2 linked regions of the Styela clava genome follow. The protein of the gene in region 1 binds, or shares a complex with, the protein of each later gene. Links are inferred from orthologs where the notes say so. Each region holds a gene or a part of one and is shown in the gene's direction. Other genes may lie near its edges.

Evidence for each region.
Region 2: H/ACA ribonucleoprotein complex subunit 2-like protein (region 1) and H/ACA ribonucleoprotein complex subunit 3-like share a complex: the UniProt entries of both Drosophila melanogaster proteins name them as parts of the box H/ACA small nucleolar ribonucleoprotein (H/ACA snoRNP) complex. The link is inferred for Styela clava from reciprocal best matches to the Drosophila melanogaster genes NHP2 and Nop10.

What each region holds. Positions count from the first base shown.
Region 1 is NC_135251.1:15,274,700-15,292,069, forward strand, and holds the start of H/ACA ribonucleoprotein complex subunit 2-like protein, read left to right. Parts: upstream 1-7,879; 5' UTR 7,880-7,894; coding exon 7,895-7,914; intron 7,915-17,370. Other genes in the region: uncharacterized protein LOC120336681, read left to right, coding at 2,569-2,682, 2,751-2,881, 2,955-3,034, 3,134-3,208, 3,858-3,941, 4,251-4,414. UniProt on the Drosophila melanogaster protein: Component of the box H/ACA small nucleolar ribonucleoprotein (H/ACA snoRNP) complex, which catalyzes pseudouridylation of rRNA. This involves the isomerization of uridine such that the ribose is subsequently attached to C5, instead of the normal N1.
Region 2 is NC_135263.1:5,478,459-5,494,310, forward strand, and holds H/ACA ribonucleoprotein complex subunit 3-like, read left to right. Parts: upstream 1-11,131; 5' UTR 11,132-11,248; coding exon 11,249-11,443; 3' UTR 11,444-12,158; downstream 12,159-15,852. Other genes in the region: uncharacterized protein LOC120341376, read left to right, coding at 79-374, 712-1,066, 1,700-1,924, 2,303-2,390, 2,961-3,067, 4,119-4,388, 5,438-5,567, 6,579-6,642 and 3 more; transducin beta-like protein 3, read left to right, coding at 12,232-12,272, 12,516-12,663, 13,444-13,636, 14,472-14,643, 15,261-15,597. UniProt on the Drosophila melanogaster protein: Component of the box H/ACA small nucleolar ribonucleoprotein (H/ACA snoRNP) complex, which catalyzes pseudouridylation of rRNA. This involves the isomerization of uridine such that the ribose is subsequently attached to C5, instead of the normal N1.

The sequences.
Region 1 (17,370 bases):
TACAAAAATGTGAGGTGCTCCGAAGACGCTCTCGTTTACATTAATGCAAGAAAACAGTTGTAATATCGGCAACTATTAACCATTTTTTGCGTTCGACTATCGCACTCTTTATAAGTAGAAAATGTTTGCGTTTTGTGATAGGTGTGCCGCAAATATTTAAATAGCTAAATAGTGTGCCGCCATAAAAAAAAAGGTTGCTAACCACTGTCCTAGATGCTCTAATATATCTGTGTCGATATTGCATGAAATAAATAGGTGATTTTATTGTCATGCAAGTTGTTTCAATGTTTTACTTAATCCCGAAAAATTCCGGGAATATACGGTTCAATACCGGGATTTCAAAAACTTGCTCCGAAATCCCAACCCTAGTACTATGTGCTATCAAACTCCTCCGTTATGACGTAGGCCGCCGTTATGAGGTCATAGACTTAACAAATATCCAACCGTTCAGGGTTTAAATGGGCATAGGACCTCTCACCAAGTTCGGTTGTCAGGCGAATACCGGTACTACGAATCAATAAGAGTTAAAATAAAATGACGTCAATACTTTGTATTTTGCAATTTGCTAATAATATATTTATATTGGAATATATTTGGCGGACCGGCAGCAAGGTTGCCTCGGACCGACGGTTGAGAACCACTGGTCTAGATATCAAACTACCCAGCGTGTATCTTTTATGATGAGATGCAGAATCAACCTTTTTCGCTGCAGTTACCGATAGAGATTTCATTCTCTCATTCGTAAGTTCATGTATCACACATATTTCAATAGATATTTCAATGTAAGACTAGTAGTATCTTTCAGAAATAGTCTTCGCAGGTTATCATCAGAAACCCCGATCAAAATTCTGTACAAATAATTGAATAGATTTAGCTGACACCTGTGCTCTCATATTAATTTGATGTCTCGTTAGTTCTATGTTTGACTTGGGTAGGCATATTTTAGCAAATTTACTTTTCATACATTCTAGCTAGATCATTACGATACCCAGCAGAAATGTCACCTCTTGCTGACTCCTATGTGAAAGACTCATTTTTGGGCCTGCCCTTGTTTCCAACCAAATTGAGCAGTATGCGTGTTTTAGCTTTGTCATTCAGTGCTCCGGTGAAAATATCATATTCACGAACGAATGTTCTCCAGTTTTAGCAACATTTTCATCAAAAATCAGAGGATCGACTTCATGTTTGTTTATTGGTAAACACACAACTGTTCCGGAAGCTTGAGTGTGTCATGGATATAACACAGGCATCATAAATAATAGCACTAGGCAGCATGCAGTACCTCAAGAGAGAGAGAGAGAGAGAGCTCAACAGTGGCATCAAGAGACATAAATCATTAATAATGACTTCATAATTAGCATCTTACATATGTCACGCACAATAATCAATTTTCCACGTTTTCACAGAACTTATTTAATCTTTAGGTTTATTTGTTTACTTCTAGAGGTGATTTGTACTGAAACTTTACGCCCAGAAATCAATTATCCACGTTTCTACGGCGTTGTTTGTAGCTTTCTTTTCTCCATTTTTCTTGTATTCGACTATAAACATAATCAAATGTATATATAGGGCTATAGAAGATTTCGTCAGACTTTGGTCACATTAACATATTTTTATTGTATAGTTAAGAGTCGAATTCGAATTACTTGTTGGTAATTTGAAAAAGGGGACATTTTAGTCAAAATTGTTACTGGTGCTTGTTACACAGCATGTGAGGTAAAATTCAACGACAGGGAGCGAGTTAATTGCTAAGTAGGTAAAATTCTTATGTTGAACTGATTATATTCACTAATGATTTTGCTGTTTCACCCTACCCTGACTCAATATTCGAAATTGTATTTTTAATTGAATTATTTTAATCAATATTAAATTTTGATTTACTATATTCAATCAGTATTTTTTCGTTACGTCATTGGTATCATTCATAGTCGCAAATTATAGTGTTATTGTATATTGATTGTTAAATTGATTAAATTGAATTGATCCCAACTGAGTTATTAAATGTTTGTGTTATTCAGATTCATATATTTATTTTCGCCGAGCAGGAGACAGGCACGGATGGTTTACATTTATTTGTGGAAAATATATATGTAAGGAGTATTTATATAATATTTGTCATATATTCTTAGTGTAATTGGATTGTTGCACTAGGACGATTATGGTTTTCGAAAAATGATGGCACTTAGAATGAAACAAATTAAATCTTAATAAACCTCAACGCAAACCTATAGATAGTTGAATTTATTAATCTATGATTTTCATTTCTTAAACATAATCTATATGCTTCCATGTACAGTTTGGAGAGATTCAGACTAAACCTGCCCGCCGAGTGTTGAATAAAAACAATGCAGTACAACATTGGATGGATGTGATGGTGTATGTAACCGCATTACATCTTGATAATAGAATCCCCAGCCCACTCCCATACCCCAGTAACGGGCTACTGCAACGTTTAAGTTGAAATGTTATAGAACCAAAACTTTCATTTTGGAGTATTGTAAGTAATTTGAGTAATATTTTTCAGTTCTACATTATAAATTTAAAAATATTTCAACCTTCGACTACAATATGGCAATTTGTACTGGTGTAAACCTAATACTTGTAACGTTTATTATATATGGAGATTTTTCGGAAGGTAAAACTTGCGGAACTCCTCTGAAAAAGGACATTGAATGGAATAAGGTGAGTGATTAGTAGAAACTATGTTCTATGATGATAAATTTCATTAACTTTATGTAACAATCTTTTAGCTTCCAATGGGGCCTTATTATGATGTTCTGGATATCCCCAGATCACAAAAGCCAGTGGGGTGCTGGAATATTCAGAATATTACCGAAGAAAAAGATCGCGTGGTTATAGATTTGGCAACATTTTCGAGCAGGTATAGTATACCACTGCATTAACTGCCTAAGCATAATCACATAGTTATCACAATCACAGCATTTTGTTATCAGGCAACTCAGCATATTACCTATTCGTGTGGAGTTTTTCCGTACAAGAAAAAATGGTGTATACAAGATCAATAGATTTAGTGGTGAGTATATTTGGCGCTGCTATGGGTATTCCAACTTCTTACATATTATAAAAACTCACGTTGATGTTTCAACGATATGTTCTATATTTTGTGATTCAGAGTTGGAGTACAGAACGGCGTTTTATCATTTCAATGTTGATAGTAGCGTCGGAATACGGAAGCTTGCTCGTGCGGGTATGAACATTCTTTTTTTCTCTGAAATTTTTACTACTTGTGCTTTTTGGTGTTTCTTCTACTGGGAGGCTGTGTTAAAAACCTATTACTTTTTTGGCGAAACATTTTCGGGCAGTGTTGACTTTCACTGGTTTACATTTGTACACGTGGTATATTATTTTTATTTAATAATCATTGATGCAATTGGTATGGAGGCTATATGAGCTAAAATTAGATGCCCGTATGGCAGTTGCTCGAACATTTCTATAATTGTATTTGATCACAATGATGTAATCGAATACCAGTGGCAAGTGATGTGAGCCGTCGGTCAGTCGTAAAATTTGGGAGTCTGTCAGTCACGTAATTTTTTGAAAAGGCTCAGTAATTGAAAAGGGTTGGGAACCACTGCCCTGTGCGCATGAAAAGTATTAGCTTTTAGTGGGAGAACCCCGTAAATCTTACAAATTGACAAGCATTTAATTTAAAATGTTCTGATGTCGAATGAAGATGCTGCCGGCCTTTGTGCAAACATACGTCGGCAAGACTCCATCCTACTCTGCCATAGTGAATGATTATGTAAAGTAAAACCGATCTCATAAAATACTTTATTTTGGCTGAAATCGATAGCCAATCTGTACGAGTACAATAAAATCTTTCCTCGGGTTTACAGAGGCTGCGGACCTTGCTCAACACGAATTCATATTTCTGACTGACTACCAGACTTATTTCATGTTCGTCGGTTTTCAAAAAGAAGGTAAGTTTGGTAGATTAAGGGCCATCGCAGACTTTTGATTTAGAACATGCTTTGTTAATTGTCTCCTATATAATATGTGTGTGGATTTTGATTTTCAACAGCTGCGGCATCTTAAAAATCAACTTGAAATCAATTGTCTCGAAATAATTTGTTTTTAACACGGTTATTCATTACTAAATGATTTTTTATTAAACTTATATAGGCGTATGGTTTACGTGTGGTCAGAACTTTGAATCTTTTATTTTAATTGACTCTATCTGTCAACTTGTTCAATTAGTATTTAGTTCTATATTTTATTTTCATTGTCAGGTTGGATAGCGTACGTAAAAGCGACCACACCACAGATCACAGTCAGTCAATTAAACGACATATCGAATACACTAGTTGAGAATGGATTGAAAGCGTCGGTGATGGTTTTAAAAAATGAGTGTCTGAATGATGGCAATCCGGGAAGTGGTGTTGTTATTGTGTAAAAATATTTACGTGGCATATATCAAAATATAGTTGTAAATAGTCGGAATGCTTCAACAAAAATTAATGTACCATTTATTTTTCGTCAATCTTATAATAAGATTCACAAATCTTCATTTGCTTTCAGTCACAGAGAAAAAGCAAGCAAAAATTTTAGAATGGGTCATAGTATCATAAAGTATAAACAAAGTGCAGTTACAAAATATCTACCAAAATTATTGCAAAACCCTATTTGTGAACTTTAGAAAATTTTTCAGTAGGCCTACGTAAAGTGTTATCAAGAAAAAGCCTTTTTTTGTTATAATTGTACGTGCATTCGTTGCATAACTATCTGGTAAATCTTCTAGGAATGACATTATTTGGTCGTACCGATATCATACTTACAACCCCATGTGTATATTCCTTAATATATAGCTCAATAGGCATGCTGCAAAATTTTTTTGGACTAGCACAAAAGTTTGTAGGGAATATTAGTAATTTGCACAAAATGATGATTCAGATAGATCTAAACTAGTCAAAAAACCTTTTTCTTATTCGAAAAAAACTCTCTTACCTAACACGTTTGTACCACATAAGCTAAAACTCTAATTGTCCCTTTAGCAAAAGTATAACTCATTTAACACGTCACTGTGAATCTGTTTACGATAGCGTCGAACTTCTATATATATAAGTCGTACGCTATTGTAGCAGTGGGCAGTGACGGGTGAAGAGTGGAGTAAAGAAGTAATCAGCATCAACAATGTATTCATTAATATAAAATAAAGATATCCTAGTTTTCTAATTGCTCGATTTTCTTCATGTGTATTATCTATTGTATTTAAAATAGTAAAATTAGGTAACGATTCCGTTTCCGCTGATATGTACAATGTCAATTCTGAGACACGGTTGGCTTTGCCATTGAAACAAAACTATATTCTATTCTTTTATGACTTCCCCAATACAGTACTTTGGTTTTTACAGAAACACATCTTCTTAGTAAGTCAAACAAATAACACTTTGCAAATTAAGCCCTATTTTTATCGTAAAGCCGTAGAGACACAAAGCATATATATGCTTCTTTTTTAATTTGAGAGTAACCAATGAATTTCATTTTTTCCTGTTGCATGTTGGTCTGAAAAAAAAATGCATTCAAGTGGTAATTATACTGTACTATAAGAGCATCGTCTCATGGCAGGAGGTTTTTGTTGATCGCTGACTAGGCCCTTTTTTGTGTTGATAACAACAAGAATATTTACAAAATCTATAGGTGGACGTTTAACGACCGAAAACTTTTGGGAAGGACATAACTCTTGCTTAATTTGAATATGCAAACATTACTTACTGCTCGTGCGTTATAATTGAATTATAACAATGTCCGAATCTTGGTGTGTTATTGGTCCCTTCTAATATAAAGTAATCAAGACTTGGGGAAGGTGTCCTGTGTGACACGACAAAAAACTAATAAAATTATTTAAATACTTACTGTAATTCAGTTGTGTCAGTTTTGTCGAGCTGGCATTGAAAAATAAAATGAAGTAGCCTTTTATATCTTCTCTTAAATGCGGGATTCATAGCGCCATATATAATAAAATTTAGACAAGAGTTTGTTAACGCCAGCCACACTAAAAACTAAAAAAATGTGTATGGTATTACATAGCACAGGTGTTTGTAAGTAATAGCAACATATCCATTCATTTACTTCAATGTTTTTATATGATTAGTTTGCTACGAGTACGTTGTTAGAAAACATATACTGCAACCACTACACATATGCTAGTATTTGAAGTAAACGTTAAGAAATGATCGATTTCTATTGAAATTCAATATTTGAACAATTAAGCCTATATGCAATCATATAAGATCTAATAAGTAATGACATCGTGGTGATAACTCATTTCATGATATTAATATAGGTAATTATGTAGGCTACGTACGGTAACCGATTATTAAGTAATGTACTGTTGATATGCATAAAGAAGTGATTCAATTTTTGTAATAATATCATTTGAATATAGTTTATATCTTTCTTCAATTTTAGAAAGGGTTTAAATTAAGTTAAAGTCAGCCGTTATTCAGATTTCTCGAAAAATAAATTTTTTCTTCCTTCTATTGTTTTCATACCGTTAATGTTTAGTAAAACAAACACACCTTTTTCAAGTGTGGCCTTATATCTCCTGGGTTTATCATAACATGTAGGGCATATGGAGTCCAACACACAAAGAATATTACAACTGCAGTAAGCAAAGTGTATGTGAGATTTCTTTCTCTTCTAAGCGAAGGTTTTCTATCAGAATAATTGGCCAAAGATGTTGAACCCTTTTTCCTAAGGTTTCTAACCCAGCTTCTGTTTTTGTTCACTTTTCTATAAAATCAAAATGATGAGATGTATTTTCGCAATGCTCTGTATTAGATATTTTTATTCAGTATTTTATTTCTTATCTATATTATTAATTATTGTTAAAATCTTTGATATATTTTCACTACAATAAATTACAGATTCGTTACATTACACACATATAAATTTCCGAAAATTGTGATGTCGCTGATTTGAAAATAACTAACATACACCGGTATCGGTACATTACTATACTCACCTGAGAATTTCAAAATAACAAAATAGTATAGTCATCAAAGGTAAGACTACGGCTGCCAGAATGAGGGCAATCGAATATGATAATGAAGCCATGTCATGCCAAGCACAAATCAACGATTTTGCATCATATCTAGAAGTAAATGTTAGTGTGTAGGTATATATATGTCAGAAAAGGGCATGATCTTTTATATTTTAGACAATAGTAAGTCTAAGTTCCCTATGGTAAGGGTGACCAGAAAGCAAAAGCAACTTCAAAATGTATAAATATGCAACCTGATGCATTTATTTCTAGCTTTCTCAAATGTGTATTCTTAAAATAGCGCAGAGGACACTAAGAGAAATTAAATATTGGAGAAAAATTCCTGATTAAAATTCGTTTGTGTAAATGTGACTCAATGCGAGAATTTGGTCAAACCGTAAATAATTGAAATCTTTGATACATTTTTTCGGGTTCATTATAAAATGTACTTACGTGATTTCTCCCCATCCAGCCAATGTTGGCATTGTGATTAGGCATGACCAAATCCATGACATTATTGCCATAAAGATTCCGACATTTTTAGTGAAGTATTTTCGATAAGAAACTAGTTTTACTATCGCCCAGTATCTGAACAAATAATACATATGTTTAGATTGTTTACTAGTATTGATTTCATGGTGCGAAGAAACGACCCTAAATAAAAGTTTAAATGTTTATTTCTGCATCTAAGATTAACTATTTGAATAAAACTACTTTAGTATTTAAACGACTCTAATTATGTACTTTAAATAAGTCTATCAATCATACCATTTGGGAAATATGAAGCCTCGATTGGACTTAATTGAACTATGGTTAAAGGCCGAATGCCTGATTTTTTGGAAACTTGAAATATACACCAAAACCTTCTAGTGGGAAGGAAGAGACAAAAGAATGTTTGGTATGTCTATGAGGTGAGAACAACCTTATCGTCTGTTTTTGCTTTGTTAGACGATTACTCAAATAACTTTTTTTCTTACAAAAAAAATTAAAAACCATACCTATTGAATGCAATCAGAGCCATATTAGCCAAAGAAGAAACACAAGTAATGGTGACTATGAATCCAATTATCTGACAAAATATTCCATCAACGATTCTTTCGCTTCTTATTATTGATGCTGCTATGCAAGGTAAGGTCACGGAACACACCTACCAGTAGAAGTCAATGTGAATGAAGCGTAAGATTTGCTCTGAAAGCAAATACTGTAAGATTCGTTGGCGCGATATAAATATATATATCGATATTTTCGCATATTAATCTAAATTCTAGTCTAGGAATAAAATTCACAAAGGCCAGTTCGTGTTTTTCAACAAACTGACTCTTCTACAAATACCGTTATTCATATGAATTTATTCTTGCCCTGAATGTAGTTAATTTTTTGTACTCTTTATTAGTGGTATATCAACCAATAACAAAGAAAATTGCAAGAACATTTTATATTCTTTGTAAGACTCAAGTTAGGATTATCTCACCAATACATCAGCCACTGCCAAATTAATGATAAAGATATTCCCAGATGAATGCACTTTCTTCTCTAGCACGATTGAAAATATAACGATCAAATTACCGATTGTTCCGAGAAGTATTATTGACATGATGTAAATAAACTCGAAGTACTGTGAAACGAAAAAAAAATTCTGAATATTACAAAAATTAATGAAAATAGAAATATTTTGCGCTTTGCATTGGTTTTAATATTTAAAATACTTGCCTGCAAAGTTCCAAAATTTGGCCAGTAATTCGTGTCGTGATGTTGTGGGGAAACTGTAGAATTTTCATCTTCCATCTCGAATATTATTTAAGCTCTTGATGCGTCAATTTTCAGCTATGATAAAAACTAGTTCATCCGCGATCCTTTCTCTGCCAGCATGTACTTTTTACAAATACAAATAAAATACCACCACATGTTCAGGCGGATCAGCTAAAGCTGACTGCCCGAATGTGCCATATATCAACTCGCAAATTCCGACAAATAATAATTGATGGTAAACCACTCTAACGGTTCGAGGAAATGATGAATTGTTTGATCTTAGTAAATACCACACGTTAATGGTCAGGCTGTGAAACAACTGTAAAATAGACAAAAAAATGTGTAGAATAGAACGTAAAATTAACACTCTTCTGTTGCCATTTTGATTGAATTGTATTATAGCAAACAAATATACTAAAGGTGTATTGTGCTCGTTTACAACTGGTTGTGCGTTCTAGTGTAATTAGATTAGAGTATGTGATATAATCGTATATCTATTTCTTTTTATTAATGCTAAACCCAATTGAACTAGCAGGATGAACTTCTTTACAGTGCACGTAAGAAAAGATGAAATGTAGGCAATACTTATACGGTCAATAAGCATACAAGGTATATAATAATCATATACCAGTTAACAGAAAAATGTCTTATTCGTCATGATAACCTATTAAAAATCTATTAAGGTTGAGCGAAAAAGTAGTTATTCACATTTTTTCCCCTTGCTTGAAGGAAATTTTTCGGAAATACTACAAATGTTTCGAATTTGAGACATACTTGAATTTGAGACATACTTTTGAAATTTAACCCCAACTTTCCGTGCTCGATTATAAATCATGCGTAAAAACGGTAAGAACAAAAAAAAAGCACTTTGATATTTAAATGCCAAACTGAATCCGGGTAATAAAACGACGTTGTTTACTAGTATCAAACATTTGGTAAATTCACCAATAATTTCTCTACAATGAAAAGATTTTTCTCAAAGCCATATTTGCAAACGCCAATTAGATCAAGATTTTTATCTGTCCCAAACTCTATATTCGAACATAAAAATTTTAACCAATTATTTTGTTGTATATCGCAAATGTTTATGATATGTCTAACAGTATTTTCCAAGGACACAATATGTTGCCTTCCTGACACGACATCATTAGTTGACGTAGGAAGCGCGTAACTACGAATGTAAATCATGTTTGCTAAGCATAGAACACAATATGGCAAGTATGTTGTTTAGAAATAACATCATAGCATAAAACAAACTTTTGTCCGTTTGAATTAATAATCTGTGTATGATAAATTTCACATAATGATACAGATACCACGACGTTTTCTACATATTTGTCTTGCAATAAAGCAAATTCGAACATGTGAAGTGCTTTAATTCAGTATTCTCTTTTGTTATATACCAGACATAAGGAGAAGCTTCAGCATAACAGTTTTCTCATTCACTCAAACTTCAAACAAACTAAATTCATCATGATTGCAGACAAACATAGCATACTAGTTTCATGCTTAAATGTTACGTCAAATTTTTCTTGCCTAAAACGTCAACGATATTTCACCCAAACCTTGTTTTTTCTCATGAGTACACCTTCATGTAATAACATTCGATGCATTCGGCAAGGAAGTTTGCTGTAGCCATTTGACTTTCATGCTGACAAAATTATACTTGAACAAGCTTTCTTGATCCCATATAAATTTACTACGCGGTAAAATTGTATGCGCGTTTATTGAAATACTCATGCACAATTTGGACACTAGTTTTTAATATACATTTTACTGTAATTCCGTGTTTTGTGGGACAGTTCGTTTCAGTTATGTGCCTTATCTTCACACATAAGCTTCAAAAAACACAGATATGATTCCAAAATCAAATGCATTTGCAGCAATTGCACATTACAAAACTTGAGTTTAAAATATTCAAATTTATTGGTTTCTAGTGGGATAATATTGGTATGGATATTATTGTAAATAAAAGCATGTGAGATAATTGCTAACAAAATTATGACGATCAAAATTTATATATTTTCTGTAGGATTTCGTCCAATGCAATTCTGAAAGCCTGCATTGGGAAATACATTGGTACACTGGTAAAGAGATACCCCTACACAATATACGTGTACTCCGACAATAAATACTCCGACTTTCAGCTGTGTTACTGATATGCATCCTATACGACCATATCTCGAAATCAACTATTTTTATTAGACTAACATCATATGGGTGAAACTATAAACTAATATTGAAATTCATATATTATATACATAAAAAAAACATAAAAATTTCCAAACAATAATTACATAACAATTTGTGAAAAATATTCACGTAAACAAATATGATTGAGTTTAATGAATGACCAACGAATAGAAGGATGACAACAAAGACGAAGCTCTTTGACAACCATTTTTTCTCATTCTTCTTCTCTGTTGCTCTTGCGATAATTCGTTTTTCTTGACGACATCACTGAGTCACTAAATCAAAGAAAATTGAAATTCCCATTGGCGTTAGAAGTAACACTCAAATGAGTATACTAATTAGTTTTCTGAGAATGCACTGAGCGAGAAGGTTGTTTTGTGAGAGCGTACTATAGAAAGAATGAAACCAATAAAAAAGACTATTTTTTAAAAAAATATTCGGCTCAATAACATTTTTTGTAATTCCTTGAGTAAAATATTTTAATATTTCGGTTAGTTAGTTATAAAACAAAATTAATTCATATAATATTGAAAATTAATGTTAAAAAAACTCTTTTCTAAACTCACCGCATTGATTCAGAATGTCCAGTGTTCTTTTTTAAGCAAAAAATGAATCTGAAGAGTTTTTTGTATCTTTTTTTAAACGCATTATTCATTGTTCCGTATATTATAAAATTCACACATGAGTTGCTGAGTGCCAACCACACAAAAAACTGAAACAAAAATTAAAAGATTTTTTAACATCTTTTTATAACAATTACATGTAGGTTGTACACGACCATGAGAGGGTAACTTTGCTTGAAACTGTCATTAACTTATGGATTCTCGTACCCAAGATTATATATGGGAAGTAAAAGTCTCATAGCTCGTCATTATAGTGTAGAAAGCTATTTAGTTTAGATATATATTAAACTTCTAGGCTACCCTCAGGACTGCGATTAATATTCTAAGGTTTGGGCATTAGGGCACTCGCTTGTGATTTGAAAAAAGTCACAATCAACAGAATTATACCAAAAATTGCTATGAGGCACTTTCTTGAATGCTGATCCCAAATTTTGATTCACTTTACCATTTAGTATCGCAAAACTGAAGTAATGTCAAAGATATTTTACCGATTTGATGAAAAATAAATCTCTTTGTGAGTGAGATATCTACCTACCTTCTTAGCATGTGGTCTCACGTCTTCAGGCTTTATTAAAGCATGTGCAGCATACGGAGTCCAGCAAACAAAAAACACAATCACCGTTGTTAACAATGTATTTATTAGACTCCTCGTCGCTTTCATTGAATGAGACGCAGCGCCTTGCGATGAAACACTCCTTCTACCGAGACTTTCCACATTTTTACTGCTTTGGCGGACTTCTCTAAAATTGGTTTTCGAATAAATTAAGTGTGGATAAAGTTGAGTGATTTCCTAAATATTTTTACCTGAAAATTTTGTAGTAGCAAAATATGATAATTGCTAACGGTAAAAGCACTGCCATGCCGATAAGAAACAATGAGTAGGACATCGACTTTGTTTCGTCCCATCCACACACCAACGACTTTGGACTGTATCTAAGAATGATTATTTTATGGATTTGGTAATCATGGTTTATTACAGAAGTAAAATAATAAAATAAAATTTCCTATTCTTACATGATTACGCCCCATCCTAGCAAGAGAGGCATTGTTAGGAGGATTGACCATGACGCGATTGTCAATGTAATCCCGATACGTTTAGTGAAAATTCGACGATGGGACGCAGGTTTCACAATAGCCCAGTACCTTGAAAATAGAGAGGAATTTTTGAAGCGTCTTTTCAATTAAATCAATATTGCATTGCAGATAATTAAATCTCTTATGCTTACATTGTTTGCTTTGGTTGGGAGCAACATTGACTTATTTTTAATTACATGAAAAACCTGTTGTGAGTTCGAATATACGGATTATGTACCATCTTTTAAAATATTTATATCGGTCAATTTAAATTTAATGCCTATGTATACATACATACATACAGTAATTTAAATCATCAAAAATTTTTGGGAACATAAATAAGGATTAGAGTATTTTAGACTTTAGAGTATTATGCGATATCATGTGAAACAATTAATTAATTTTTACATTAGTTACTGCCACAGTTAGTGTAAAGTTTCTATCTTGGAGGATATTATTACTCTAATTTACAGAATGGACTAAGGTGAGTGGATGGTTTTGTAGAAACTGTTTCCTTACAGTATATTGTACCTAGTGAGAACTGAAGAAAGTATAGTTAAATGAATTATTTGCTTGTGTACTAACCGGTTAGCGGCAATCAATGTCAAATTACATAGAGAGCAAGCACACGTTGTCGTAGCCAATAATCCGGCTATTTTACAAACAACGTCGTCTAGTGTTCTATCTCCTTTTATTACCGTTGCCGCTGTGCATGGCAGAATGACGGAACATACCTGTATTTCAAAATAGTTATATTCGATAACCGCACAAAGTCTCTTTAACAAAAGTTCACCCGTTTGCGGTGGAATGAATGAGTGATAAGCAATCAAATTGTTTGAATTTGTCCGCTGAAGTGGGTATTCAAAAGCATGTTCGCTATTTCTAATTATTCATAGAGCCAAACCTCGGTATCTTACTGTCATGTGGACGCGAACATTATGATAAATATGAGCAAATTGAATTTATTGAACAATAACTTCAATAACCAATACTTGCCAAAAAGTCAGCAATTGCCAGATTAATTATGAATATATTTCCGCCAGAATGTACTTTCTTGTCTAATATAATGGAAAATATAACGATGAGATTGCCGAAGGTTCCAATTATGATCACTGCGAATAGGTATACAGCTTCGAGGCACTAAAACACAAAATATATAAGTTGGTGATTTGGCTAGAGTTTTGTTTAATCACATTCACAGCAATACATTTGTATTTACAATTTAAAAAAAAGACAAAATGCAAATATTATACCTCAACTAATTTCAAAACTGTTTTATGATGTGCACTTTTGATACAGATGGAATTTTCTATACCTACGGCCAATATTGTTCTACAGTAATACCAAACAGACATTCACAAATCGGATTTCCGAACAACGGTTGATTTTTCAAACTGGGCTTTAGAAAGGGTACATGATTAATAAGTCCGCGTAAGAAAAACCTAAATGAACGACAATCATGAAATTGTTTTGTTATCGAGGAAAATGTAGTGTATTTCCAAAACAGCGATCTTATCGATATGGCTATTCTTACAATTGAAAAAAGAAATTCTTCAAATGTTCATTTTCAATAAACTATCAATTAATTTGAAACTTGAAATTTCATTTTGAATTAACCAGATGGCACGTCGCATACTATATGTGTACTTATTTATCTAATTACTTTCAGGTGTAATCGACCTTCTGGCAATAATTCTTATCTTATAAATTGTTTTCAGTACGTCAATAGGAAATAAATGATCTAGTCAAACAATATCCATACGATATGTTTGGTGCGCTTGCAACTTCATGTATTTATTTGTTTTTGCACATTTATGAGCAACTGCGAGTTTGAACTTCACTTTAAGATACTTTTTGATCAGTTTTTATGTACTGATTGATTCATGCAAGAATGCGAGAATTTATATTTTAATCACTTGTACTTTCTAATTATAATATTATTGCAAACTCTTGTAATTCAATTCTGCACATGATTCACATACTTTGATCTATAGATTCATACTGCAATAAAATTTGATTATTCATGAAAACAATATTATAGGCGAATAGATCATACATATATATTTGGAACACATTAAAATTAATCTTACCTGCAAAGCTCCAATTTCTGACCAATAAATCTCTTCTGTGTTATTCATTCTATAAGTTCATTAATTTTCTACTTTTCAACCAACCGAAATTCAAATGCTTTTATTCGAAATATAAAATGAGCTTTGCATACGCACATGTAGACGATTATACTTATATAAAAGATCATTTCAACGACTATATCGACACTAACCAAACGTAAGGTATGACATAGCCCATAAATGCTTCCTTACTCATACAAACAAACAGATTTTTTATTGGTACTTGGCGTCTTCCGATAATTTGTTTCTATTGTTGACGTGTTTTGAGTAATTACGTCTATAAAACGACTCGTCGTAAAATATAGATTTCTGTTTTCATAAAGTGAATTTTTTGTATACTTCAGCGGGAAAAATATAGATTATAATAGATTACAATTATTTTTCATGACGTGATTCAGTGTTGTACGTCAGATCAAAACTAGAAAACTATCTATTAGTTTTTTGAAAAATCCTAGTACTACTGCATTTTAAGATAGCCAAGTGTTAGTACTATGGGTGGGGTCGTGGGATTCAGTTAAATTCGAAGTAAAAGAAAATACTTTATTCTCAATTACTGTAAAATACTACAAACTAACATGAATTGTGGAAAACACTCCACGTACAGCCATCAAATGAAACTATTATATTAAAGAACGAACAATCCTAAAATTGCAGACATACTGCAACGATGTATTCACAATTCAGTTAACATATAAATACCACGCATTTTATTAAATATCACACGCAGTGAATATTTTAGTCTTCCATGAATACTAGGTAATTCTAAAATTTAATTACTCCTTATTTTTATACAAATTTGGGAGCTCCAGAAGTATGTGTACAATATGGGGATAACTAATTTTGTTCGCCTACTTTACATCAAGTTGTGGTAAGGGACAGAAGCCTGTGGCAGGGGGTATATTCACTTGGCTAACATAAAAAGATCCCTAAACTCGTAATGAAACTAAAAAAGGGAAAAAATGAAAATAAAATTATGGCCTAACCGTAACCTGGTACACATAATTAGTACCCAAATTTGCACGACGCAAGGACTTGAATCCTAAAAGAAAATGGAAAGAGTATGAGAGTTTCAGTTGCTGAAGCCAGGGAGACAAATCATGTTAGAAAATTATCTCCAAAATTGCTCAAGCGGATTAAGATCAGTTGCAGTCACACCAGCCAGATTGTTTCATTATTGAAGTACAAACGTATCTTCTTAGTATGGCATATACGGTTTCTTAAATATTGAGATCCCGGCGTACCATCAAACGGGATTGATGTATATTGTTTCTATAAATTTTTTCCGTTAGACTAATTGATAAAATCATAATTATTGCTGAAATCTTGAAAACTTGATATATATCTTAAGTCGTATTAAGGTTGGTATATTGGAATCGATGTCACGAAAACGTTATCCGAAACTGTCTCCAATATTTTTAATATAATATATAAACCATTTTATACACAATGAACCGAACAAACTACGACTTGAGTTACCTTAATGCAACATTTTTTTCTGCAAAATACTCTGTTCTTTAAAAACCTAGATTTACGCTATAGTTCATTTTTACATAACTCCATTATCGCACATGAATGTTACTACAAAACTTGATTCTCACGAAACTACATTATCTCAAAAAAATTTTCGTGCCGAACTACATTGTCACCAAAGTCCGTCTACTAAAAAATAATCTGACGCAATCTTTTTCTCGTATTAAGAAAAATGATTTAGCATCACGCTATTTCTGGCTAGCAATCCTCAATGCTTTTTCAGTTACAAATAATAAGGCCTATAATTTTACCAAAGTTCAGATCAGATAGTATCATATAATATAATCTCATTGTAGTCTCATATTTGAAAATATTCATGCTATATATATATATATATCTTTATAAAATTCCGATATTTTTTCAAGTATATATGAAATCTCAACTGCCCAACAAACTACAGATCGGCATAACAAATACAAAATATTTTGGCAAAGGATGGACTCAATTATGTTCGAATTCATCACCTATTTTCAAGTACCTGTCACTCCCCACAACTCAACCATATTGTATTATCATAATTATTCGTTCGAGGAAAATATAACTTATAATAAATTACATTGGTATTTCCTGAAACAGCAGCAAAGGAGGTAGATTACGAGAATATTGAAACACACGCTTGAAAAATTGCCGAATACTTCAAAATTTTAATTTTGACAGTCGCATATAATATAAATATTAATCAAAAAAAAATCGACCCATTTGCTGTTTGTTCATGATAAAAGTACATAGACCAGGGTGACCCACAGAAACGGAACCAATACAATATGTTCCAAATAAACTGGGTTCCGTTTTTGGGGTCACTCAATATAATGGATTCGGATCTAAACTATCCAGCTTTAATATGTAGAATAGATTTAAAATACGTATTTATTTTGACTTCCGCAACAGAAAAGTTCCATATGTTTTCAATGCGAGTTAAAAAGTCAACTTACTATACCATTGACAATTAATCGGCTGACAGACCTTTGAACGGATATATTTAAATGCTGGACCGCAATAGGGATCCCGTACACAAGCGTGTTTTAGCTACAAATATTTCAATTTGCTTGATACGACGTGGTTCGTTTTG
Region 2 (15,852 bases), on another chromosome or scaffold:
GAAAATGACAACTTTTGAAAAGAAATTGAATAATATTTTCTGCATTATATCTATATACTGGTAATATTTTCACTTCAGGTCGCCAAACAAGACGGACAAGCCATGACCCTGTGCCACTGACAACTGAGCTCAGTGGTGGAAGCAGCTCAAGTTCGAATTCATCCAGTGTCTTCCTGATTCCTGGATCCAGTGTTCACCCTCCAAGATCCACAAAATCATTAAGGGAACACCAGAATTTTTCACCAGATACAAAGTCTACTGACAATTCAATTTCTCCTTTTGTGTCAAGTAGTAGCAGTAGTAGTTCAACTTCAAGTCCTTTGAAACTGACATCCACCAACACTTTTAGTACAGTAACAAGTCCTGTTTCAGCAGTAAGTTATGTTCGGTTTAAAGCAAGATTTTTTATAAAATGCCTGAAAAGAGCTCTGTATAGGCAGCCCCTGATATCTAATGATATGTAAGTTAAGAACTACCTTTTTAGATAGATTTAATTCCTTTCGGTCTACTCAATTTATGAAAACTTGAGTGAGGTGTATGGCATGTTATTTGAGTTCAACATTGCTGAACTGGAAATATTCCAGTCTTTGCAGAATTAATAGCTTTTTTCATATCATTAGATATCTGTTGTTTGTTTGCACATGGCCTTGTCCATAGTGAAAAGCGAAAATAAGCTTGGTATAACATTAAAACAATTTTATTCTTTTTCAGGGATCTTCTCCAGTTTTGAAAGAGGGTCGAGTTGTTCTTACCCCACTTTCTACAGAATTAATTTCTTGCCAAATTGGGGCTCTGGGTAACAAAATGAGCGGGGACATCGCTACCCCACCAACAAGTAACATCAATCCACCGCTATCAGGAAGCACTCCCATGATATTATCACAAAAAGATGATTCTGCTTCGGATATAACGACGTCAAATTCACCAGAAATTCCTTTCCCTGTTGATTCTCTTCATGGTACTGATATGACGTCGTTTCCTTTCGATAATAGTTCGGCTGTAAAAGGAGATGAAAGTGTGAATGGAAATAAAGAGTCGACTTCTGATCCTTCAAGAATTGATCTAAGTAAGGAAATTTATGATATAACAATCTTCAATTTGTTTTAACCATTATGTCCATGACTCAGATTTTGGTTTGAAGTAGACTTGCATATTAGTGACCAAATTCAGTTCCATAATGACGACCAAACCGCGTACATAATGACCTTGTAGGAAGGCATAAAATTATGCGCTATTCACCAGGCTCAAATCTGTGTAGTGATTACAGAAATTTGGCATTAGGATAACGCTGCACGAAACCTGTAAAAATTCCCATTTTGTTTTTCAATTTTGCTAACTAATTTTGTGGCACAGAATTGTAAGGAATACATATTCGGTCAATATTTATTACTTAATGTGACTCGATAACAAGTTAAAACAGCTTGACGACTTGTTTTCCGAGCAATTCTTGAAGCAATAGGCCACTTTCACAGTGAACTTACTATGCGCACTTGATAGTCAATGTTTCAATGGCCTATTGAATTGGCCAATTAAGTTTTAATGTCCGTATGGTACTCCTCAAGTATGCACACTAAGATGTCGCACAACCTGAACCATAACATGCTACACAGCCTGAGTTCAGGTTGTCCGCCATCTTGGCGCGCATACTTCAGGAGGTCCGGACGCATAATACTTTATTACCTCATTTATCCTTTTTTAGGTATACCTGTCCTTGCTCGACCAGCTAGGGAGTGCTACTATTACCCTGGTCTGTTGCAAACAAAAGATTCTGAATCTGGGAAATACACTGTGTATTTTGAAGATGATGGACGAGACAGACAAATACGAGAAACTGATATTTTATTAATCGATATGTTGCCTGTTGGGCAAGAAGTTTATGCTCAGAGTGACTCGGATGATTCTGCTGATTGGTGGTACAGTGCAGGTGATTACGATTACAATTGATGAGTTGAAATTTGTGATATCTGCCTTTTCAGGAATGTTCAGAATGATAACAGTACATTCGGAATTCAGATATTCCTGATGTTAGTAATTACTTCCTTTGGAAATTTGTCATCTTCGGCATTGGACATTCGAACAAAAAATGAACACAATTTTATTTGCCACACTGTGAAATAATATCAATAAAAACAATCTTTATCTTGAGCGTACTGCATTGCCAACATAATTTTTACAACAGTTATGTAAAATTGTCTGTTCAATATGACCCAATTTATTCCATATTCAACAATCTTCTCGTGTACTTGGAATAGTAAATTGTACAGTTACTTGTACATTTATCATATCAATATTTATATTTCAGGCACAATAGTGAGTTACTGGAGAGATGATGATGATAAACGAGGATATGTCATAACTAAACCTGCAGCCGGAAATAATAAGACTAAAAGGTTGGTATTACAGTTATCGAAGAGTTCAATAACTGGATAAGTCCATGCTCCGAAAACAAATAACTGGCTAACTAATCCCATACTCGACATGGACTGGTAACCGGACAAGAGGTCGTGGTTCGCCATATTATGATTAAGTTAACTTTTCTGTGAATCCTATCTTAAATATGTAAATCTCATCCTATCCTACCTATTATTCGTGAGATAAAACTTTTATATAATTTTCGCGCAATTATAAAGAATTGGCATAATAGGATGTTCACGAAGTCCTGTATTAAATTAGGTAAAAAGACATTTACTTCATGTACATGTAACTAGTTGTGGTCCTAAAAAGTGTATTAAAGGAAGTAAAAGAGCTCAAGTAAATGAGCATTGATTGAAATAAAAAAAAAAACTGGTTAAGATATATTGAGAACAGACTGCATGACAGAATTTGGAAATTTTTGAAACTTTATGAACACCTGCTGCACTGCCATTTTTAGACTGTGACTCTTTATATTAATTTATCTGTAGAAAAGAGATTTTTTGTCAATTTTATTTTCCATCATTGCTTTTATTTCCAATTTGCAGGTACACAAGGAAACAAGTTATTGTAAAACTTGAAAACTTGTCAAACGATTTGAAGTTATTGAAGCTGCAGCCTGCATCTGGTCTTACTACAGCAGATGTTAGTTTGGGTATGATGCCATTATTGATTTGGTAATAAGATGGGATTTTCATATTTATTCTGAGGGAGAGGAAAGTCAATAAGATGGTATTATAATGTGGCAAACCATGTCCTCTCATGTATCCATAATAGTTAGCCAGCTGTTTGTTTCCGATGAGTGGACTTAATGGTGAATGGAGTCTTACTCGACCTATGGTTTGGTTATGTAAACCACCCTATGATGGCGAAAAGTCCAGCAAACCTCTCGCACATAATTATTCTTGCCGGGTTCCTTGAACCTAAGAAGGTTAATCAGAGGTATAATGGCAAGCTTATTCCTAACGATTGACACAATGCACCAACCGCCTTTTAAACAGTATTCAAAAATTATTTGAATGACAGGCAGGATAATTAATGCAAAATAGAATATGGGTAAGAGATTAGATTTCGAGTCTTTTCCTTTCGACTCCTATCAGCATGATAAATATAAATGAATTAAAAATGCAGCTATTGACACGCAGTGGTTAAAACATTAGATAGAATCAAGTATGATGGCATAGCAGAAGTGAAAAGAGGATAATTATGTTGGATATTAATTAAAAAAGCTTAGCCAACTTCTTCCGTATCTAAAAGAGCGGTTTCCAACCGCTGGTCTGCGGACCGATGCCGGTCCGAGAAGCTTCTTTGCCGGTCCATGATAAGTTTTGTTGTTTTTCTGCTGTCTCAATCGTTTTACCAAAGTTGCGTTGTTTTATTAGGCAATTTCTCTTCTACCGTCATATTGCTGTTTGATAAGTGTGGTATTATTAATGGCCCTATGACGTCTTGGCGCAGAGTAATTTCACAGCATGATTTTGAGCCTGGCACCTAGTTACAGACTACTTGGTTAATATATTTTTTCGTTTCAGCCATTTCAAAATTTTTGCTGGTTTGAGAGAACATTTTATTTGATTTTTCTGGTCTGCCAGGGTAGAAAGGTTGGGGAGCACTAATCTAAGCTAAGATCTGTTAAAAATTTTGCCCACTTTACAGTGTGTATTCTTTTAGTTCTAAAAATCACTGAATTTAATTTTTTCAAACAGATAACATCATGGATGGTAAGAGACGTACACGTCGGTCAAGAGCAGCTGATTCTGCTGTGAGCAGCCCTGCCGCATCCAGACCAGGGACGCCATCTTCCACGACTTCTAAAACTCCTCGATCCTCAAGAAAACGTCGAGCAGATTCAGAATCTTCTGAGTCATCTTCCTGTGTACCTTTCCCAACAACTAAGAAATCAAAACGAGGGAAACTTAGTTACGGGAGTCCAAGAACTCCAGCAAAACGAAAATCTTCGAATACACCATCTAAAGGTGAGGTCAAATGTGAAAATATTTTCAGATGAATCAACCATTTTGTAATACTGTGAATTATGCGATATCATAAAACAATAACGAGAAACTGCGGTTTCGATTCATTTGCTCTTACTCCATAGTGACACCGTGTGTCCCATCACTAATTAATCAATAACTCGCTAATTATACGACATAATTCATCCAAAATCAATAGGCTTCTGGTCCGACATATGATGAATGCACATGCATAATTTGGAGCAGATTCAACCTCGATTTTGAGAGATATCGCGTGTATCTAACAGACAGACAGACAAACAAACAAACAGACAAATACCTATCAACATACTTACCGATCAAGATCGATAAGTAATGAGTAGGGATGGGCAATGTAGAATAATTTACTATTCTAGAATACTTAAATCAAATCTAAAATACCGAATCGTATTCTGTTTTTATAGTTATTTGAATAGCGGGAATTCCCCACCACATTGCTGGATTGGAAATTAAAGCAAAATTGTAAACGCATTACTTTCTTCGGTATCAATTGAAAATGTCCTAAACATTGGGAATTCAATACTTTGGGATTCGGATCCTCCGGATTTGGTATTCTAAATTGCCCATCTCTAATAATGACTGACATATTTCATTATTTTTTTAGGTGAACTAGGCGTCATGCCGCACAAAAAAACAATTATTTGGATTATCTATATTTAGAAGGACTGTAATCTTTTCTGTTTGGCCCTGCCTACCCTAGTTATAACACCCTGAGTGAGGTGTTGCCTATGTTACAAAAGTACTTTCTTCATAACTTTGCTCTATTCAGATATTTTCAACTTGAATCATAAATAAGTGAATGCCTATAGTTGAATAAATGGTAAATTACCATGAAATGTTGGTTTATTTGCTGTTTGGAAAAAGGATTTACAGAAGTTTTAAATTTTATAAATCTGACTGATTTGTATATATTTGGCTGCAATGTGCGCTAATTATTTTTTTTCCGGTACTTACAGTTGAGTTTTGAATCACTTCGAAAAAATAGATTAAATAAATAAATGTTGTTTTCTTAGCATCCATGACATACAAAGAAAGCAAACTATTTGAGAAATGTGGATTTTTACTGACTTCAACAACAGGAAAAGATCATCCATCATCCGAGTTTGATTCACCTCCTTGCACCAATATTTATGGATATGACAGGTAATATATTATAAACCAGGGCGGGCAATTTTTTTTTGCGAAGGGCGGGGTTCATCAGAAAATATTCTTGGCAAAGGGCTGCATTGAGAAATTGATTGTAATGTCACAGTTATTAATTCTATTCGCTATGATATTGTCGAATACAGTTGTGGCTTGCATTGTTGAACATTAATATTACTTAACAAATCATAGTTTAGATAATTTAAATGAAGTTAAAAAATAAATCCAAGTTTTGTATGTAGTTTTGAAAATGTTCACAACCCTTTTCCAAGAGCAGGGGGGGGGGGGTGCATAAATTCGTTGACGGGCAGTAGTTTGCACATTCTTGTAATAAACCATGATTAAGGTAGTTTACCAAAACTTTACATTCAAAAATTGTTTCCTTTTGGAACTGATGAACTAGTGAAGATCAGTTTGCATGATTTTGATAAAATTGAACCAGCAACACTTGGTAATTATTTTTGAAGATATTGCAATTTAGAGCAGGGTTTCTCAAATTGGGCCCTCGGCCCCCCTAGTGAGACACGGACAAGCCCTTCACTAGCTATCGTTCTCCATGACTAAATTAATTAAAAAAATTGGCTTCTTATTGTTAAATATGCTATAAATATCACTATTGAAAACTCTTTGGAACTCTTTGAAAGAAGGCCACAGGTATTGGAAGTTATTAATTTTCCTCACTTACATTGTACATAGCATGGCAATATTTTTCTGTTTTCCCTGAAGTTACAGGATCGTAACTCTCACGGTTCTTCACTAACCGAAGCATTTTTGCTTGCCCATTGTCACTATCTGTCGTGATCATCTGCGCAGCCAAAAGTCTAATTGACCGCTTTGGAGCTTTTTTGTTGCTGTGTGCTCAATTAGACTATACTGACACTCATGAGTTTCATATCAGTTTACATGCTCTGTACAGGGGGCTAAGTGGATACAAGACCATATATTGAGAGATGATAGTTGATTTTATATTTGTTTGGATGTGAACAACTTTTATTTCAATCTTTTACGCAGGGAAGTGTTGAAGAAACAAATCAATGCTGGGGATGGTGTTGTTGTCAAGGATTTCACGCAGTTGGTAAACTGATTTATATGCTCTGTCTCTGTGTAATTATGTCGACAAAACTTAGGCCTGATAATTAATACTTGTCTAGTCAACTTGACTGCCTGCATTTATTGGTAACAGGAAGTTGGGGTTGGATTAGAATTCCAAAATAGCTTTTGATTTTTGTTGAATCTATAGTTATTAAACAATATACTTGAGTTTTTAAATATCTTTTTCTCACCCGGTTGTCAGGTATGTGCTAAATAAAAAGAAGAATAGTTGGCGCTTAGAAGTGTGTGTACCAATATGGAGGTAACTAATTTTGGTCGCCTACTTTACATCAAGTTGTGTAAAGGGACTGAAACCTATGGGCAGGGGGTATATTCACTTGGCTAACACAAACAGTCCCCAAACTCATAATATAACTAAAATAAGAAAAATCGGATAAGCATTTTGCCCTAACGTGGCAGCTGGTACACATACTACGGGAGTACCAAATAGTTATCGAATTGAGCATATTCTGAATATCTTGAAAAAACTCTTGTGTTGTCATTTGTGATATATTATTTTGTTCACAGATGTCATGTGATCGAAGTGAGCTTTACGTCGTATCAGATAATTTTTGTCGAACAATGAATTATTTCAACGCACTAGCTGCGGGAATCCAATGCATATCTTATATCTGGATCAATGATTCAACAAATGCTGGGAGATTAAAAGCAATAAAATCCTATGTTTTGCCCGCTGGATACAGTTTGCAACATATGGGGATTGTGGAAAGGTAATGGATAAATTTAGGAGTTGTAAACAATGTTTTAGTTAAAGTTCAACCTCAATTTCATTAACGTTCTTCCTCACCATCGAATCAAACTGTAATTTAAAATAGAATATTGATATTTGAAGATTTGGTATTCTTGATTCAATGTAAGTAATCTAGAATAGTAAATTAAGCTGAGGGCGCCTCCCAATGTTTAAACTTTTGGAGCATTGTTTTAAGTCAACAATTGTCTTTTCGGTGATGAATTCCAATTAGGATTACCGGTAACCATAATTAGATTAACTGTTATCAGATGGTTAACGGTTGCAAGTTCTGTCATTCCAAGTATTATTCCCTTTTCTAATGTGTATTCGCATGATAAGAATTGCACATATTTTTCTATCGTTTTTGAAAGTGTTTCACTGAAGTGTATCCCAGCCCAAATTCCAATATTTATATTTAAATCATAACTTTTCTAGACCAATATCTCCAATCCAACCACTGTCTGGTATTCGTGTCAGTTTACATATGAGAGATCTAGCAACATGGAATCCTTTACTGTGCATTGCTGGTTGTATATCAGTTTCAACAAGGAAGGATAAATTGAAAACTGGTATGATAAAAGCATTAAAATTAAATATTGTTCAAATCGAGTCAAAAAGTTTGATTGATTTCAATGCTCTGGCAATTTAGGTTCCAATGGCAATAGCTCATCAGTCCTATTAGAACTTACGATTTTTTTTATTTATCCCGGGGAGAGTTAATCTTATCAAATGACAAACCACAATCTTTTGTTGGGTTGCTTGGGAATTTTAAAAAACCAACGCAGCAGCAAATAAAAAAAAATCGGAAAGAAGTGACTTGAAAGCATCTAGCGCCAAACCTCAATAGTCCAACCCTAAAAAATTGCCCAGTTAACCAGTTATTTGTTTCAGATGCTCGGGCCCTTATCTATAACCAGTCAGTAAATTACTGCAAGACATGTCTTTACAGGGAGGCAGAAGGTTCAATGCATTTTTGCTGTCATTGTCACTGTGTTATCTTTATTTCTCAGCTAAACTTAATGGCCCAGCATTCTCGCACCCCCATTGCACAGTTTTCGCACCTCTGGTAAATGAACCCAGTAACATAATCGAATCATTCTTTCTCCCTATTTGTTATTCACAACGCTTCTGCTCTTTTTAGTCACTGATAACACCAAATTAAGTGTTTTATAAAATCTCTCATGTTTTTTACAGATTGTTCTCTATCGTGTGACGTTGTGGTTGCTGATTCATCATGTGATCAAAGTATCATGGAAAGAGCGGAGAAACTCAAGATTCCTGTCGTGTCAATAGAATGGGTCATCCAGTGTCTTATAAACAATAAAAAATTACCTTTTATTGGTCATTCTCAATATTCTAGGTTTACTTGATCAACTTTTAATAATTTTCATTTTCTACGAGTTTGGTAAAAATACGTAAAACCTGTAACTATCCAATTAATTCATTAATTAATTCAATTCAATAATAGGAATTAATGAATGATAGTAAAGGTGTTTAAGGCTTTATCAATGTTGCGAAGCTAATCCTATTTAACTCTATTTCGAGTTGAAATTATCTGACTTACCTGACATAGTCAAGTTGCAAAAATACGACTCAAAAGACTTCATTTCGAACTGCATTTTAGGGTTTAGAAATGTTGCAAATCGATACAAGTTGATCTGAAATATATATGTTTTCTTCTGGTCCTCAGAAATAGATTTATTTAACAGTTTTGTTCAATCATTATTAGGTAAATTATTCATACAGTTTTTGTGTAAAATCATCAAAGCCATTGTTCTTGTTCTGCCAAATCGTGCAATATTTTATTCACTGCTGGTTCTGTACTCAACCATTTCAAATTTGTTAAATTCTTGCTTATTTTAATGACGGTCAATGTTATAAATGAAATAGTTTGATTTGAAGTTGAAATGCATTTAAATATAACAATGGAGTTGTTCTGGAAATGTTTTTAATACAAAAATATGATTTTAAATCAATGCAAATGTGGTGCATTGGAATGTCTTACTGGTGCTTGTGCAGTGAATCTCATATCTCTGTTTCAAAAATATAATTATCACATTGTTTGATATGGGTCTAACAGATCGTTGCCATCATTTAATTTTTGTTTTGTTTCGTAATTGCTGTAATAAACAACCCGCTGTCTTTTTTATATTGAAAAAATAAACCAAATGCCAAATTTTTGAATGAAAATTTGATAACGTATTGCTTAATTTCCCATGGTCACACAAAAACGTTATCTGTAAGAAATATGGGATATCTCTATAATGACGCAGAGAGAGTAAGATTGTTTATCTGTTGGAACTTAGAGCTAGATGAAATATCCCATTTGTGTACAGAATATCGGAATGTCATTTTACTGATTGGTGAGACGTGACTGGTGCCACTCATAAGTAAAACTTTATTTTGACTACATTACAGACGATGAAATAATTGATAAGAACAGAATAAACAGAATCGGGAGAGCAAACAAAACCTTTAGGTTTAAAACGTATGGATTGAAAGGTGTTGTCAAGAGGAGAGGTGCGCGTTCACTAACCCAAAAGCATTAAATTAATTATTAATACGTGCACGCGTATATACAATCACGGTGTCGGAGATACAATAAAGTTGAAAGAGAAAAAACTATATATATATATATTACTTGGTGAAAGGGGAAAAAAATACGAATAAAGAAAGAAATTTGCCACACCACATCAATAATTTTGTAAAGATTGCCAGATTAGATTAGTTAACAGGAGTGAGATGTATAGAAAAATCTTTCTGTGGTCAAGCTGACCGTTGTTGTGGATCAAGGAAGATGTATATATTCTCATTGGTTGGACGCATGAAGAGGTGGGCTATACCGTGTCCGGAAAATTCGCCGCAAGAGCATTTTGCTGTTAAACAAGTATTTGGGATAAAAACGGTCAGGTTTATAGGGTTAGGGCATGCCCTTAGCAATTTTTTTTAAATGAAAAAGTACTTCAAAAACCTAACTTTTTATCACAAATACTTGTTTTACAGCAAAACGCTCTTGCGGCGAGATTTCCTACGGCGAATTTTTCTAGAACTGTGCCAGTCATGGACACGCTGTCTCCAAGCTAGTTCTCTATTTTCACTTGTCTCTCACGACAAAATGGGACTTCAAAGTCGAGTGACCGTCATTCGTCCAAAAATTTTTTATTGTCCTTGATACCGAGATTATAATCGCCCAAACGCACAGGTTTCAACCCCTGTTCCGTGGGCTGCGCATGCCAAGTGTTTTCACGAAATCTAAATCCCAGAGTGAGTAAAAATAGTATCGTTCCATCATTAATGGTTGAGCGGAGAGTTGAGATGAGAATACAGCAATAGTGATTAAAAGCGTACGAAAATATTGAGTTGTAGTGGCAATTGAAAAAAGGATTATAACTTTATGAAAATATTAACGTGAAGAGAGGGCCTTCTCCAAACACGCCAACCAGAAAACAAAACAAAACGTATTTACATATAAAAAGTTAGAGTCGAATAAATGAACATTTTGGTTTGCCGTTACTCGGCTATGATTGGATCTTCAAATTTCCCGTTTGATTCTATCGTATTTTTAACAGCATAGCCCTATAATATTTATCATTTTATGCTTTTTGGTTTCAACTAAATAAGTTGATTTACCCAACTGGTAGCGCAGGCCCGATACCGGCAACCGGGCCGGACTCAAAAATTTGCAACAGCGTCTACTAGTGACAGAGACATAAAACACGTGTGTGCTGTGGGGAAATTCCCTTTGACTTGTTGAAAATTTGCTCTGCTGATTATTGTCTGTTCATTCAAGCTACCGAAATCAATCTTTCAGCATTATCGTTTTACCGTGAATAGAAAGATGTTTCTGCAATATTATTTGGACGATAATGGTAAACGAGTTTACACCATGAAAAAGGTCGCTCCTGATGGTTCGCCAACCCAGTCTGCTCATCCGGCAAGGTTTTCTCCAGATGACAAGTTTTCGAAACAAAGAATCGCCTGCAAGAGACGTTTCGGACTATTATTAACCCAACAACCAAAGCCTGCGATGTGAAAGAACATTTTTAAAACGGAATATGTAGGATAGTAAAAGCTCAACTAACAATTTCACTACTTTTATCGGGACAACCAAAAAGCTTTATGTGTGCATGTTACAGTGTTGAGAAATCAGAATGAACTTTACTTGTCAATGTGTCTTGCTGACTTACCATCACAGAAACGGAAATTATAATCTTTTAATATTCAAAGTTTCACTCAAACACTGAAAAAGGATGTTTCACTATAACCATGTGGTGTGTTTTATTGATAGATCAAATATCCCTTCTTTATCACAATGCTTTTAAACCCCAGTAATGCCATTTTTTCGGCTTCCCAATTTGTGTTTAATTTAGTAGATTTTAATTGTTGCTTTATTTGTGTGATTATATATTCAGATATTGCAGCATTTTTATTCACCTTTCATTAAATATTTGCTTACAACATATGCTGGGTTAATGCTGGATATTTTTCATTCAGAAAAGATTTCTAGACAAGCCACTTGTGTATGGAAACTACGAGATCAATTCTTTGAGTTTAACTGAATATCTTTTGTACTTTATTGATTTGTAAAGTGGTGAATAATGGCTGACCATCTTTCTTTCGGAATTATTTTTATTTGTGACTTATAGGCCTACTCGCACCAATGAGCATGCTGTTTGTGTAGAGTGGTGTAATGTGCTAACTACTTGAAATTTCAATCATATAATCTTCTGAATGCATTTTTCCATAGACACATTCAAATCTATTTAATATTGCGAATCAATTTCCTATCCTGTATTTTGATTTTTGTGTCTGACATTGAAAATGGACTCAAAGTTGTCTGGAAAACTGCTTCTCAAAACAAAGTAAGTTTTTTTCCTCTTATTTAAAAAATGATTTAAAACATGCAAAATTGTACTTTATTATCAACTAATGGTCCATAATTTAGGTGTTTAAAGATTGTTCTCTTTCTAGTTTTGCTTGCCCACCCAATCTATTGCACCTTGGGTTAGGTGGTGGGCATGGTATATGAACCCGAAATGTGTAACCCGCGATGTCATTATTCATTTCCTACTTTCTAATAACTAAATTGTTCTGTTATTTTTTAGCTTTGCAGTGAAGCATAAATGGGAGCCATTTTACACTGGAGGATCAGTAGTTTGTCATAATGATGGTAAAACATTGTTATGTTCATGTGGAGATTCTGTCAAAGTCATTAATATTGAAACTGGAGAAGTAAAACACAGTTTGTCTCAGGTTGGGGTGATTTTTGTTCAATTTAAATATGAATAAAAATGAAAGACTATCATTGTTTCAGCAATATAATGTTGGAGAGGTCGAACTGAAAAAACTCGACAGGTTTCTGAATGATGATTAATCCTATATCATTGTGAACAAGCAAATTCATAATCACTATCATACCCAGATCTGTGGAGTTTGAGTTCATCTTATTTATTTTTCTTGATATTGAACATGAGTTGACATTCTAATTTTTTTGAGTCCAAGTCCCATTTTAGACCCTTATTAATGATGATAATTGAGATACAAATTTTTAGGAAAACTCAAATTGCATTGAGTTAACTAAGCAGTCTCAATGGGCACTTTAAGAAGGAACGTGTACGGCATTGTGTCTTTTAACAAAATTAAGTTCGAAGCTGGAGAGTTGAAATTTCTTCTAATATGTGGCTAAAGTTGGATTCAAATGATTTGTCATTTCGGGAGTCATTTTTCAATATCTCGTCGTTTGGAGTCGGGGCTGGGTGTGAATTTTTAGCTAATCCAAACTCCGAGAATATCAAATTTTATATGGAAGCCTTTGTATACACAAGCTGTCTTTTATAGGCCCCATTTGATAACACTGTTTTAGTTACTTTGAAAACTTCTTCTTTTATCGCCATTGAAAGTTTGAAAATTCTGATCCGCGACTAATGGGTTATCCATATTGGACTCTGCCCCCCTAAATCCGACTCCACTGACTGCTATAGACTTGGTTTTAATCTGCTTTTCTATTTTTCAAATTTTTATGTTTTTTACCAGGAGGGAGATGATGTCACTTGTATTTTATCTAGTCCAGATAATAACATCATTGTTTCTGCCACAAGATCTTTGTTACTGAAAGAATGGAAAATTGAGAATGAGGTGGCAAAATGTGTGAGAACATGGAAAGCAATTCATACTTCACCAATTCTGTGCATGGATTTTGATGCGACATCTACACTCCTTGCCACAGGTATGAGCACAGAAGTAATTGTAGTCAAATAAAAAGATTTGATAATACAGCTCATAAAAAACTCCCAAAATTGTTACTTATCGATCTTTAGATCGGTAAGCATGTTGATACCTATTTGTCTGTTTTTCTGTCTGTCTGTTTGTCTGTTAGACGCACACGATATCTCACGAATGCGTGGTTGAATCTGCTCCAAATTTTGCATTAGCATTCATCATATCTCGGACCAGAAGCCTATTGATTTTGGATGAATTATGTCATAAAATTAGCGAGTTATTAATTAATTAGTGATGGGACACACGGTGTCACTATAGAGTCATGAATCGAAACCGTAGTTTCGATTGATAAGTCTTCGGTCTCCTACCGATATTCTCGTTTACATTTCAAAGGAAATTTAGCAATGCAATATATAGTTTGCTCTCTACTTGAAAGAAGTTTTGCAAAGTAAATTTTACATTGGCAAACTTTATCAAAATCAAATTCATCAGTTTAATGAGAAGTTGAAATATTTTTGAATTCAAAAAAAATGGAGAACGAATTTAAAACTGAAATGCACAAATTGGCAATTTCCTAAATTCAATTGGTCAAAGCGATGGATGAAGCACATTTCAAATGCAATCTGAAATTAGATTTATTTTGTGCAATCCTAATCACAAAATTCGCTTTATACATGAGTGTGAGTTTGGCTTGATTAATAATGGTTTTATGTTTGGATAATATTTTTGTCCACACTATGTACGTTTTCACGCTGCACCTTTATCCACATACTCTGAATCTAAATCTACTGAAATATCTAAATATCAACATGTAATTAGCTATTCTCTTATTCATTATTTAGGAAGCAGTGATAGTACCATTAAAATATGGGATATGTTGCATCAGTATTGCACTCATAATCTGAGAGGATCCCAAGGTGTAATATCAGTTGTGAAATTCCATCCACACGATTTACAATTGTTTTCTGCGTCTAATGATTATGTTATTAGAATATGGAATCTACACACGAGCAGGTATGATCTTTTATTCATTTGGTGATACTTTGTTTGATGAGTCTTGTGCAGGGGTGGGCATGGGCCGCGACGAGATTTTGACCAGCCCGCTGACTGTACATCAGTACATTATGATATTACATTATTACACTTTTAGTACATTATGATAAATTCATTATGAGTTTTTTGGTCTCTATTTTTTTCTAGTTTAATTTTCAATTTAAACACGATTTATAATTTTCTTTCTTGCATTAGTTAATAAATATGTGATTAAGATATTGAATACTATTCATGTTATAATCCGGCCTGCTGGGAACTTCATTTTCTAACATCTGGCCCGTCGACTAGAGAAGTTGGTACGACCACTGGTACAGAAGCTACTGAGACTTTACAGTAGAAGAATTACAGCATCGTATTATACTTTCACATCGTTCGCTATGAATAACGCTCTGAACAAGCTTCCATTGATATAAATGTAATTTTTTTTTTAAAAAGCTGGAAATCTCTCCAGTTCTGCATGATGTGGTGCGCAGAGGGTTATCCCGAGATATTTCATCTGATATGGCAACATTGCCAAAGATTGCACTTATTCTTAATTTTCATGTTTCAGTTTTTATTAACTAGTTCTCTGTTTTCAGATGCATTTGTATGCTGAATGGACATGTTAGTGCAGTTACATCACTTTCATTCATTACAAAAACTGAATCTCAAATATCTTTAATAAGTGGAGGAAGAGACAGTGTGTTGTGTGTCTGGGACTTGTCGCAATGTAAAGACAAAAACACTGTCGAACCAAATAAAACAATCCCTGTATATGAGACTATTGAAGGATTATTAGTTTTGCCAAACCAACATATTACTAAACTTATAAAGACTGCAATTTCCGATGAATCTTCGCATGTTTTAACTGCTGGAAGTAGTGGAAATTTGAGAGTTTGGAATTTATCAACCGGGAAATGTATATACACACAAAAGGTAAATATGTAATTCAAGGTGATACCTCTGGGTTGGATAGTAGTTCTAAGTGTAGCGTTTAATAAGCATATTTATTGTTCAATTAATAATATTTTATCTGTCTTCTACCTCTATCTACCCTTCTCTCCAAGCCAATTGATCTACTAGGCCTATTCTGAATACATTCTAAAACATTGGTTCTCAAACCTTTTTTGTTGAGGCCCTTCCCTTTTTAGAATTGATCGAGTCTCGCGCCACACCTTAAAAATAACTAGC